2 linked regions of the Drosophila melanogaster genome follow. The gene in region 1 interacts genetically with each later gene. Each region holds a gene or a part of one and is shown in the gene's direction. Other genes may lie near its edges. The genes, in order: spas and atl.

Region 1 (7,173 bases):
GTGTCACCCATCCAGTTGTCTCGTTGATCGGGCAGGACTTGCGTATGTCGGTGGAGTAGGACCACGGAGCAGCCGGGCATGTGCTGAAGAGCATCTTGTGCTCCTCAGGTGATAAGGCTCCGTCGCCATCGCGATCATAGCGCTCAAACACGGCAATCAGAAACTGCTGTCCGCGGTGCGAGAGTTCTGTGCTGCTGCCAGGCGGTATTTTCAGCGGTGGCCTAAGATACTCCTGGCACATCTCCAACTGGTCGTTATAGCCAAAGCGCCGTAACACCGCCCAGGTTGTCTCGTTCCTTCCCCGCTGAATGAAAAGGCAGTGTAAGAAGAGGAAGCCCTTCAGGGTGACCGCATCGTTGTATATGCCATCGGGCACATTTTTCTGTATCACGGCCTTCACCTCATCAAGGATTTGCGGCTGGAGTGGTGTGTTGAAACAGCGTCGCTGGAATAAATTCAGCTCGTAATCGTTCAACAGATTGTCCCCGTCAATGTCGCAGATCTTGAAAATGCGCACCAGCGACTTCTTGCAGGCGGATGTGAGCTGAAAATGCGAAGTTTTATTAGAAGAGTACAAGCTGATTACCTATCGCAAAACCGCCAATTACGGCGCAATGATATAGTTGCGACCTATGATCCACTCCGGAAGCACTTACCTCCTGTTCTTCCATCATATACAGGGGAGAAGTCGGGTGCAGCACAGCCTTCTGGGCGTAGTAAAACATCTCGGAGATGTTGTGCAGCGACTTGGCAGAGCACTCCACGCAACTCTCAATCTCGGGGTAGTCTTCCATGATGGCCAGCACGCTGTCCATGGTGGAATACTCGATGAGGTCTATTTTGTTACCCACCAGAACGATTGGCTTCCGAATGGGCTCTCGTTGTGTGTCTCCTTCCGCCTCCGCTTCGGCATCACCCTCGCCGTCCAGGGAGGGATTGCACTTGGCCCGGACGAGCGGCAGCCAATGGGATGTGATCCGATCCAAAGTGTCGTCATCGTCCACGGCGTACACTATGCACACCACGTGCGCCTTGTTAATTTCGGCGGCCAGGGCATCCTCCGACTGCTCCACGGCCGAGAAGTCAACTATGCTGGTGGGCACCTGCTCGGGCGTCACGTTCGCCGGAATGGTAATCTCCTCAGCCCTAGGCGGAACCTCCTCCGGGTACTCCTCACTGACCAGAGACAGAATCAACGACGTCTTACCCACCCCGGCGTCGCCGACGAGCAGGATCCTAACATTCTTGCGCTGCGACGCCGTGTACTGTCCCATTCCGACTGCTCTCCAAGTGAGATATGCCGCTCCTGTGCTCGTGCTCTGCTGGTCAGAGATCGCTGGCGTTTAGGCCGAAATTCTAGGATTTTGTTATGCAAAAACGCAAAAAAAAACAACCCAGAGTGATGGGGATGGCAGTAGGTGTATCAAGGTCGATATATCGCAACCCAGCTACCAGGGCTGCCACACTAGGCGACCGCCAAATAATGCGATATTTTTCCCCAATTTTCCGGCAATTGTGTTTGAATTCTACGAATTTAACAAATCAAAACTATTATTTCGATCAGTTGCTTAAAATTGATCACGTAATTTAAATATTTCCATCCAAAAACATCGGATCCGAAACTGTCTGGTAACTTTATTGACAGCTGGATCTCTACGATATGACAAGTTAGCGTTTTTCCGCTAAATCAGCCAACCGTTAAGGATGTTGTAAAGGACACAAAATGTTTTCTGTTAAAAATATTCGTATAAACAAAAAGGAAATGATAAACAAGGCAATAAATCAAACTTACCTTCAATTACGAATGTCTCCATACTGCACTTCGGTGAAAGTCTCCCAAATTATATTTCATCCGTTACATTCCACCATTTAAACTTTGAAATTGCCTGTTTGTCTGACTTCACAACCTTGCCCGCTAGATTTGGTAATCGATAGTTGGTCAGCACTGGCTGGGACTCCAGAGCTTAGCTTCAATTTTCAACGTAGTGAGAGTTGTAAGTGCGGAAGAAAATCAGTACTCTCGGATATCAGCAAAATGAGCACTAGCTCAAACGACGTACAACAATAATATTCGAGATTTGTTTGTTTTTTTGTGCGGCATCGATACAAACGCGTGCCACGGCCAACCGATTTGGCTTACAAGGATAATTTCCCCGTGCAACTTTCACGGGGTTAGGGCAAGGAGAGCAGGGGGCCGGAGTGCTGGACGCGCAGACAGCGCGGAATCGATATCGATGGTACGCACTAAAAACCAGTCGTCCTCCTCCAGCGCCAGCAGCAGCAGCACCAAGTCACCAATAAAGTCCAGCAGCGGGGCAGGATCATCCGGCGGAGGACTCGGTGGTCGCCAGTCCACTCACCGCTCGTCGAGCGCCTCAAACGTTGCTGCCGTTGTTGCCGGCGGTTCATCTGCCGCCGGTGGAGGCTCCTCATCGAATCGCCGTAGTCCGGGCAGCTCACCCGACGGCGACGACGACACCACCACCACAGATGACCTGACCCCCACAACGTGCTCCCCACGCAGCGGCCACCACCATTCGTACGGCGGCTACTCGTCCTCTGTGCACAAACAGAACCTCTACGTCGTCTCGTTCCCCATAATCTTTCTTTTCAACGTTCTGCGCTCGCTGATTTATCAGCTGTTTTGTATTTTTCGCTACCTATACGGTGCGAGCACAAAGGTGATATACCGCCCGCACCGACGCGACTGTAATATTGAAATCGTGGTGCAGAATTCCTCCAAGGAGCAACAGCAGTCGTTGAACCATCCTTCGGAGCTGAACCGTGAAGGTGACGGACAGGAACAGCAGTTATCCAATCAGCCACAGCGTTTCAGGCCCATTCAACCGTTGGAGATGGCCGCCAATCGTCCGGGAGGAGGGTATTCACCTGGTCCCGGCGATCCATTGCTGGCCAAGCAGAAGCATCACCATCGACGCGCCTTCGAGTACATCTCCAAGGCGCTCAAAATTGATGAGGAGAACGAAGGTGAGTTTCGGCGACGGGGGTGGCAGCTCCAGTTCGAGTTCGAGTGCTCGAATGCTCAATGAGTCATCGCCCGCTGTCCGCTTTTGTTGTCTGTCGAGTGTGAGAATCAATAAGGCAAAACGCGCGCACAATGGATGCCCCAAATGTCAACAGGAGTAGGGTTGTCTGCCTTGATGGACTTTTATGGAGTGGAAGTTCTCCAAGCATGCGATTTTTAAATTCTAATGCATATAAGCGTACTCTTTGTCAAATTATTTATAAGAGGAAAGCGAGCTTGATTGAACATAATAGTTATAAAATAAACATAAAATAATATTATTCTATATATTCAGGTCACAAAGAGCTGGCAATTGAGCTCTACCGAAAAGGTATCAAGGAGCTAGAGGATGGCATAGCTGTCGATTGCTGGAGTGGACGTGGTGATGTGTGGGATCGGGCTCAGCGCCTGCACGACAAGATGCAGACAAACCTTTCGATGGCGCGGGATCGTCTCCATTTTCTAGGTAAGTGACCAGTCATATTTCCTATACCCCTAAAACATAGGATTTGTTTACCTCATTTTTTTTTTATTTCATTTTGCACGTTTTCCCCTGCTTTTTTGTTGTCCCCTCCGTTTTGTCCATATGCACATGTTCATCCGGTGCGCAGCTCTGCGTGAGCAGGATTTGCAAATGCAGCGCCTCTCCTTAAAGGAGAAGCAGAAAGAAGAGGCTCAAAGCAAGCCGCAGAAGACCAGGGAGCCCATGCTGGCAGGAATGACCAACGAACCAATGAAACTAAGGGTGCGCAGCAGTGGCTATGGGCCCAAGGCCACCACCAGTGCCCAACCCACTGGTAAGTTCCTCACCAGCTAACGCGCACCCAACAAGATCCTCACACGCCAGCGCAAAGCCACCATAAGCAGATCGATTAGTCAATCCCTATCACCTCACTTGGCACTTGATTTTCTTAGAATTTTTTATTTCGATTGGCCAAATTGTAAACTTGTAAAAGAGTATATTCTTCCGCATTATCCATCTCTGATTGTGCTAATTCGTTCACAGCATCTGGCCGCAAACTGACAATTGGATCCAAACGACCCGTCAACTTGGCCGTGGCCAACAAATCACAAACGCTGCCCCGCAACCTTGGCTCCAAAACATCTGTAGGCGCAGTCCAAAGGCAACCAGCCAAGACAGCTGCAACGCCTCCCGCCGTTCGGCGACAATTTGTGAGTATCTGATAAGTAAACTAAATTTGTTTTTACACATTTGGCAAATACTCAGAAATTAAAATACTAATTAAACTAAATTACTCATATTACAGTCTTCGGGGCGTAATACGCCGCCCCAGCGTTCGCGGACTCCCATAAACAACAACGGACCCAGTGGCAGTGGCGCCAGCACTCCGGTGGTTAGTGTGAAGGGAGTGGAACAGAAGCTGGTGCAACTTATACTCGACGAGATCGTCGAGGGTGGGGCCAAAGTGGAGTGGACTGACATTGCCGGTCAGGATGTGGCCAAGCAGGCTCTACAGGAAATGGTCATTCTACCCTCCGTCCGACCGGAACTCTTTACGGGTGAGTTGGTTATTCTGCGACTAGAACCGTCACCATAACCAATCTTCTTCCTTTTTAGGGCTTCGTGCACCGGCTAAGGGTTTATTGCTGTTTGGTCCTCCCGGAAATGGCAAGACACTGCTGGCCCGCGCCGTGGCTACTGAGTGTAGTGCCACCTTCCTGAACATTTCGGCTGCCTCGCTGACCAGCAAGTACGTGGGGGATGGCGAGAAACTGGTGAGGGCTCTCTTCGCCGTGGCCCGTCACATGCAGCCCTCCATTATTTTCATCGACGAGGTGGACTCGTTGCTTTCAGAGCGAAGCAGCAGCGAGCATGAAGCATCGCGTCGCCTAAAGACCGAGTTTCTAGTGGAGTTCGATGGGCTGCCTGGAAATCCAGACGGAGACAGGATCGTGGTGCTGGCCGCCACCAATCGACCGCAGGAATTGGACGAGGCAGCCCTGCGTCGGTTCACAAAGCGCGTTTACGTCTCACTGCCCGACGAGCAAACCCGCGAGCTGCTCCTCAATCGACTGCTCCAGAAGCAAGGCAGTCCGTTGGATACCGAGGCGTTGCGTCGCCTTGCAAAGATAACAGACGGATACTCGGGCTCCGACTTAACGGCACTGGCCAAGGACGCCGCATTGGAGCCCATTCGAGAGTTGAATGTGGAGCAAGTGAAGTGTCTGGACATCAGTGCAATGCGTGCAATCACAGAGCAGGACTTTCACAGTTCGCTCAAGCGCATCAGGCGCTCGGTGGCGCCGCAAAGCCTCAACTCATATGAGAAGTGGTCGCAAGATTATGGCGACATCACCATCTAGTCTGTTCTAGCCAATGATCCTGCCCTCCTTCATCAATCCAATTTGGAGAAGCTGTGATGTGAGTCTCAGAGCGCAACCCATTGTCGTTACACTAGTTTTGATTATGTGACCCATGTTTTTCGCCCTTAAGGTTCTATTCAATCCGTAGACTTTTCGTTTCACAAACATTGTTACATTTGTATTTACCTGTGAGTTATTTAATATGATTTGTTTCCCAGCTATTTCTGGTGTTTTAGCCTAAGAACATTGTATTGTATTTTTTCGTTGTTTAACCACCATGTCCATGTGGTGCAACATTTGCCATGCAGCTCCATTATCGTTATACTCATACTCATGGTATATATTTCTAAGATCTGTACTTTTCATTGGAGTTCTTAGAATAGTAGGTTTGCCCTATCTTCGTTTATGATAGTAATTCAAGGCCACATTGCTTTATAAATTAGTTTTTTGAAACATTCCGTAGTGATTTTTTGTAAGACAGGCGGCCCAAGGAGTTCACAACTACTTCCATTGTATCCTTGAACTATAAAGCATATTTTTGTTGTACATTGAGTGCCCATCCACAAGCTACATGTAATCTAGAAGTAAGCGTAGACCTAAGACCGATGATATACTTATACACACCCACAAAGATACATTTACCAGCGCAGAATCGTATTTAAGTTTTAATAGTTATCACTGTCCGTATGGTTAGTCTAGTTTAGTTCCTTTGTTTCAATCTATGTACCTACAGCCATAAATACAATCGTCTCCGATTCACCTATATTATTAGTAACACACCCAAAAATGTTGTACCTAGCAGGTGCGTATGGATCTGGTGTTATCAGATCGATCAGATACATCTTCACCCGCGCACATGCCCGTCGCTTATCGCGACACATTGAACCAGCTTCAACGCAGCTCGCCCACCCGGAATTTGAGTTCTTTGACTAGTTACTAAACACAGATACAAAAAAAAACTACATGCATATAAAACTATATATATAAAGAAATCTATAGAATACGCTAAATAAAATCGATTTCAAGAAACATCAATTGCATTCTTAATCATCAACAAAATTCTAAGCTATTGGAAACCATTGGTAGTGTATTGAGAATTGAGCAACGGCTGACATCACCAGGTGCATTTAAATTAAGAGAAAGTAAGCAGAAGAATTAAGCATTCATGAAAACTAGTTTCGCAGAAAAACTGCGTCTCACTAGAGAATATTAAAGCTATAAAATTCATTCATGTATGTATGTTATACCTTAAGAAAACTTTTTAGCACAATTGTAAAAGTTAATTACTTTTTAACTATATTTTAGACTCCGCTGAATCCTCCACCAGATTTGTAGTAGTAGTAACCACTTCTATCATCAATGATATAAATTAAAGTTTGAAATAATAATTCCACATCCTAATTCATTACCTCAATATAAAAACCAGCGTCCCTTCGTTTTCTCACTTGTTTTATATATTTTTTTGCTTCTTTATTTTACATTTTACATATTTATATCGCATTTCGTTTTCCACATTGGAAATATACAATATGTATGCTCGAATTTACATTCTCTTAGTGACTAAATTTGTTTTTCCTCTTGTTTTTGCATTCGGCTTGCTTGCTTGCGGCTATCCTTTCATCCCACTGAAACTACCCTCTTTCCGTCTTCAGTTTTCGTTGACACATGTTCCACATAGTTACAATTACAATTTGCTTTGTCACGTTTTTGTTTCGATTGTTTTCTTTTTGTTTTAACTCTGTCGCGCGTAATTAGCATTTTCTCTTTTCAGTTTTTATTTGTTTGTTTTTGTTGAATTTCTCATTCGGTTTATTTTATTTCCG
Region 2 (5,134 bases), 590 kb from region 1:
TAAGGACCTAGATATAAACAATGTACCAAGCAACACACTAAAACACATTTTGGTGTAGAATTTAAATTAACTACTGAGACATGTGTGAGCAAGGCGCTCAAATCGATTTTAGTTCCATATTGTTGTACGAGGTTTCATTGAATTGAAACAAGGCAGTTGAATAGCCTAAACAAATATTTTCCTTTTATTTATAAATTATGTAATAAACAAAATATGCTTTTAGTGCGATCAAACGATAACAAAACATTTTTGCATTTATCATTCCCTAAATTGGGTGGGTTACACATAAATTTGGGGACTTCACTTAATCGTAGTACCAGTCCAAGAAGAGCAGGGAGAACGACATGACCAGCAGGAAGAACAGCGACCACACGCGTAGTCCTGCATTTCGTTGAGTGGCCTGCCGGATTTGCTCGTTGGCGTCCTTGACGTTTTCCGTGGTGCCCACGACGGCACTAACTATCCTGTCGATATTGTGCTGTTGCATGGCGACCTACAAAAGGGAAAGGGAAATTTAAGAGGATTAAATGAGATTAGGACGTGGATCTATCTGGATCTAGTTAATAATTAATTGCATGCTAATAAGAGCCCGGCTTATACATCCATTGTAATCGCGAAGGATGTGGATTTTAGCGAAGCCAATTAATATTTTTAATTGAAGGATTAAGTCGACAAACATATGGGCAGCCACTTAAACCCACTAAGTATTCTTGGCAATATGGAGCAATATGTTCTCACCAAAATTAAACTAAAGATATCGTTGTTAAGAACAGCAAGGATTCCTTGGGACTTGTGTTATCATGCCATCTTACCTTTTCGGTGAAAATGTCCTGCAGTTGGGCAATGTCTACCACGTTCTTTTCGATCTGCTCCACCTCCTCGGAGACGCCCTGCAGAAAGTTGTAGATGTGTACGTTCTCCGCCTCGAAGAGCTGCACATCCTCGGCGCTTAGGGGATCGTCATCGTCGGCCTCCTGCTGCTGCTGGAGCTCCTCATCCAGAGCCATCTTGGAGGATGAGTTGTTCAGATCCGATCTGTTGGCTTTGCTTCGTTTGCGCGTACGCGGTTTGTGTTGATTGGCCTGATTGGCTTCCTTGCCCTTCTCGCCATCGTGATCGTCCACCTCGTCGCCTTCCTCGTCTTCATCCCAGTCGCCCCAGGCGTCGTTATTCCAGTCATTGTCGGCGGACTCGTCGTGGTTGCCATTTGCTTGTGAAGATGACTTCGTGGCTTCGCTGTCATCGTTGCTGACCTGGCGCCTGCCCAGCTTGCCACTGTTGCTGCCCGCCGGACGCACTGGTATCTTCTTTTTGTCCGCCGCCAGCTTGAGCAGCCTATAGGTTTCCAGTTCGTGTTGCACACGGTACTTCTTTTGGTCCAGATAGATCTGTTCCACGCTGTGCAAATAGCTGACCAGCAGGTCCAGCACGGCGTCGATGTGCTGACGCTCCTGCGGCTTCCGCTTGGCGCTCTTCCAATCGCTGCGCATCTTGGCCAGGTGCTGCGTGTAAAAGGTGACGAACTTCTCCGACTCGCGATCAATCAGATCCCGCTGCGCGTCGGTCATGTGTGCGGCGGACTTGAGGTGCTGGCCAATGCGCATGTAGGCGGTGCGGTTCTCGATCAGCACATTGCGCAGCGAAGTGATCTTGTTGCACACCTCCTTGGCCTGCTTGGCGAAGTCATCCTTTGGGCCAATTGGTCCAGTTTTTGTCGGCACTGTGGCGGGCTTGGCCTTTCCGGCCAGCTCGGCCTTGCGCTGCAGGCGCACCGTCATTACGCTGGCCTTGAAGCTCTGGGTGATGTCCATAGCTATTTGCTATAACTAAGTTTGAAATATTTAACTTTTAAATCCACATCATCGGTCCAACACAATGTGGCCGTTCGTTTAACCGTTTGCAGTGTGACCTTATGATGACCGTTAATATATACCAGTTAGCTAATACTAAAAATAGCTAAATGTTATCGATAAGCATTTCAGTGTTGGCTAATGAATTTTCACCCCCACACTTATAGGTGATTTTTCGCCCAACGGTGTACGGTCACACCATTGGCAGAGCACAAACAAAATACGTACTTTTCTGCTTCCAAAGTGTCGAAAAATCGCAGCGCAGTGAAGTCCAGTGTCCGATGTAAATGGTTAAGTAAAGTGAGTAACAAAGGCCGACACAGAAGCCGCATTATTTGCGCAGTTAGCCGACCATTTGGTAGTGTGCGTGAGTGGCTCCGTCGCAGTGCGTTGGTGTGCGTGTGTGAGCAACCAGTTTCCTTGGATTCCTCATAATCTCCATGTGTGTATATGTAACAAAAACAATAACAATTTAACCAGGCGAATGCAAAACACTCGCAAAGTTGGCCAATACCGGATGAACCTCATCATCATCATCATCTTCCACATATTCATGAGCATGGTCGGCAGTCGAAGCCCCTGAATTCCGATAGCAGCCATTCAGCTCGATTTATTAATAATAATTGCCCATTTGCTCGGAATGTATACACATTTCAGTGACTTCAATTGTTCGTCGTCATTTCACCTTGAATTGCGGGCAAGGTAAGCGTCCAAAAGTCGCTATGGATATCGTTGCGCTTCATTTACCGTATTTACCATATACTCTATAAGAAAGTCGCTCTAAATTCCGGGTGAGCCATGTGCTTTGGGTTTTTTGGTGGATCCAATAGTTACACGTCGACAAGAGAAACAATGGCTTATCTTCTTTGGGAAGGATCCCGAGATAAGCTTGTACATAGTGAGAAATTTTAAGTACTGATAACGAATTTTGAACATTTCATTTGAAAAGTGCATATCGGAAGAATATACACAGATTTAGATTTTTTTTTTTTTTTTGCTATGTAGCTTCATTATAAGATGATTGTCCAAACCAATGGAATATACATACATAAAGTGCCCTACTATTTCGGATGACTAATAATGCATGTAACCGCATCTAGGCTGCTGCCAACAATTTCCCTAATTAATTCTTAAACAACATAACAAACAATAGATGCAATGCAAGACCTTTAAACTGATTAATCGTCAATTTTGATCCACTCACACTTAAGCAACACCGCCGTTTATTTTCTATTATTAATTGCTGCTCGCCAGCGATCAAAGTTTCGCATTCGCGGCTCTCTCCCTTGGTTTTTTTTTTGCTTTTAGTTTTCGCTTTTGTCTGGTTTGTGCAACATCAGCGATCGGCGGGGGAATCACAGTCGCTGGTCTGTTGGTAGATCCATTCGCTATGGATCCCTCAATTTATTACACAATTTTGGGGGCCAGACTGTCAGTAGTCTTTTATCTATCGCGCTCTCCATCGAGCACGTTCGCTTGAACTTTGTTTCGCGTGGGGGAAAGTCGATTCCTTTCTTTCGGGTTGTAGATAAGCAATTAACTACCTTATAGATCTGATAAGCTCTGGCATAGAACACTCTTTTATTTGTAGGAAGTTTGTGCGTATTAACAATAAACATCGAATTGTGTTTCATAAATGCTCACTTCTAATATTATATGGATAATAACAATTTATGAGCTTTATTAAATCAATGTGTAAATTCTAAAACAAATTATTTTCTCTTCAGAACACTGAAAGTGAACTCATCTAAAATCGAAATGAAGTGATGTTTTCTCTTAGCAGCAGTGACTCAGAACCGAAATCTACTCTATGCGAATGTGGTCTCTCGCTGACTAAAGCTAATTATACTATTCGGCTGCACCTCAGCCCATCGTAGCAACGGCTTCCAGTTGCGGCAGGTACGGAGGCAGGGTGTCTAGTCCGCCGGCCACTCGATCAAAGCTGAGGGCATGACGCGGTGAGGTCATCAGCTGACGTACTCCGAAGGCCACGTCCTCACAGCTGCTCCGCTCGCTCGGCTCCAGCTGCCAGCAGTTGAGCAGCAGCTGGTAGAGATCCCCGTAGACGTAGGCTGGCTGCGCCGGACGCACTGCAGCCCGAATGGCCTCTAGAAGCTGTTGGTTACTTGCCACTGCATTGGCATAGGGAGTACCGCCAAGGGCACAGCATTCCCACGCCACGCAGGCCAGGGACCAGACATCAGAACGGGTGGAATGGTGATGCTGATGGCGCAGCACCTCCGGGGCCAGCCACCGGTTGTGGTCTGGCTGCTGGCGAGCAATGTTCATGTAGGGCAGCGGTCCAAAGACGCTCAGTTTTAGCTTGAAATCGCTGGTAACGAAGACGCTGTGCGAGCAGAGCTGTCGATGCACCACCTGGCAGCTGGATAGATAATTCATGGCACTGGCAAGCTCGTAGATCCACTGCAGCACTAGCTGCTCAGAGAGGGAAGTCAAGCGTGGCGACGGTGCCATCAGGCGACTCTCCACCAGTTTTCTCTTTAGACTCATGCGTTGCTGCTCGAAGATTAGGTAGAACCAATCGGGACTTGCTGATACTCCATAGAAATCTAGCAAATGCTCCTGGCGCTTCAATTGAGACAACTGACGTAGTTCTCTCAGCAACTGTGCCTGTGTAGTACCATTCAGATCGTCCAGACAGAGCACGTGCAGGGTGCAATCTCTGGCAAAATCGTTTGTGGAAACCTTTCCGGTTATAATCTCACCAAAGCGTCCGTCTCCGATCACATCGTTCACATTTAGTCGTAGTGCATTCCTTGGTATCCGTTCGTATCCTTCCACCAACTGTTGCAACTGCTGCTTGAAGTTTTCCGGCGAGTGTGGCAGTGGATCGTCCTCCACAAGGTATCCGTTATTTTCCCGCTCGATTATGGGCGTTTGCAGCGTCATCTCGTGCGTATTGCCACCAGTCAATCGTCGCCCGCGGCAGGTCTTGTAGCGCAGATAGAAGTAGGCAATAAGACTGAGCAGGAGGCAGGAGCCGAAGATCACACAGGTGACAGCTAGGGCAACCACCGAGGATTGACCCTTCTCAAAGGTGGCGTAACTAAAGTCGTCTAGGGATGTCACATGCTGGTCGTGAGTTCCACGACTGTACATCGTCTTGGTAACGCCCTCCAGTGTGCTCACCTAGAATATAAATAGTTACAGAGATATTCATTCGAATTTAATGCATTACTCACCAATCCGAGACTGATGTGGACATGTGCATCTGGTTGATCCAACGGCTTATTGGTAAATCGTCCGTAACGCTTGCCATCGCC

What was found.
Region 2: of spas (region 1) and atl, changing one suppresses a phenotype caused by changing the other (phenotypic suppression), as found in Drosophila melanogaster (one study listed by BioGRID).

Annotation. Positions count from the first base shown.
Region 1 is NT_033777.3:24,036,275-24,043,447, forward strand, and holds spas (spastin), read left to right. Parts: upstream 1-1,940; 5' UTR 1,941-2,234; coding exon 2,235-2,988; intron 2,989-3,320; coding exon 3,321-3,491; intron 3,492-3,636; coding exon 3,637-3,822; intron 3,823-4,031; coding exon 4,032-4,198; intron 4,199-4,293; coding exon 4,294-4,546; intron 4,547-4,604; coding exon 4,605-5,350; 3' UTR 5,351-6,380; downstream 6,381-7,173. Other genes in the region: Miro (mitochondrial Rho), read right to left, coding at 1-544, 657-1,274. UniProt on the Drosophila melanogaster protein: ATP-dependent microtubule severing protein. Stimulates microtubule minus-end depolymerization and poleward microtubule flux in the mitotic spindle. Regulates microtubule stability in the neuromuscular junction synapse.
Region 2 is NT_033777.3:24,623,663-24,628,796, forward strand, and holds the start of atl (atlastin), read left to right. Parts: upstream 1-2,008; 5' UTR 2,009-2,150; intron 2,151-3,403; exon of another isoform or gene 3,404-3,713; coding exon of another isoform or gene 3,714-5,000; intron 5,001-5,053; coding exon of another isoform or gene 5,054-5,134. Other genes in the region: Syx18 (syntaxin 18), read right to left, coding at 305-493, 813-1,811; wsck, read right to left, coding at 3,714-5,000, 5,054-5,134. UniProt on the Drosophila melanogaster protein: Membrane-anchored GTPase that mediates the GTP-dependent fusion of endoplasmic reticulum (ER) membranes, maintaining the continuous ER network. It facilitates the formation of three-way junctions where ER tubules intersect.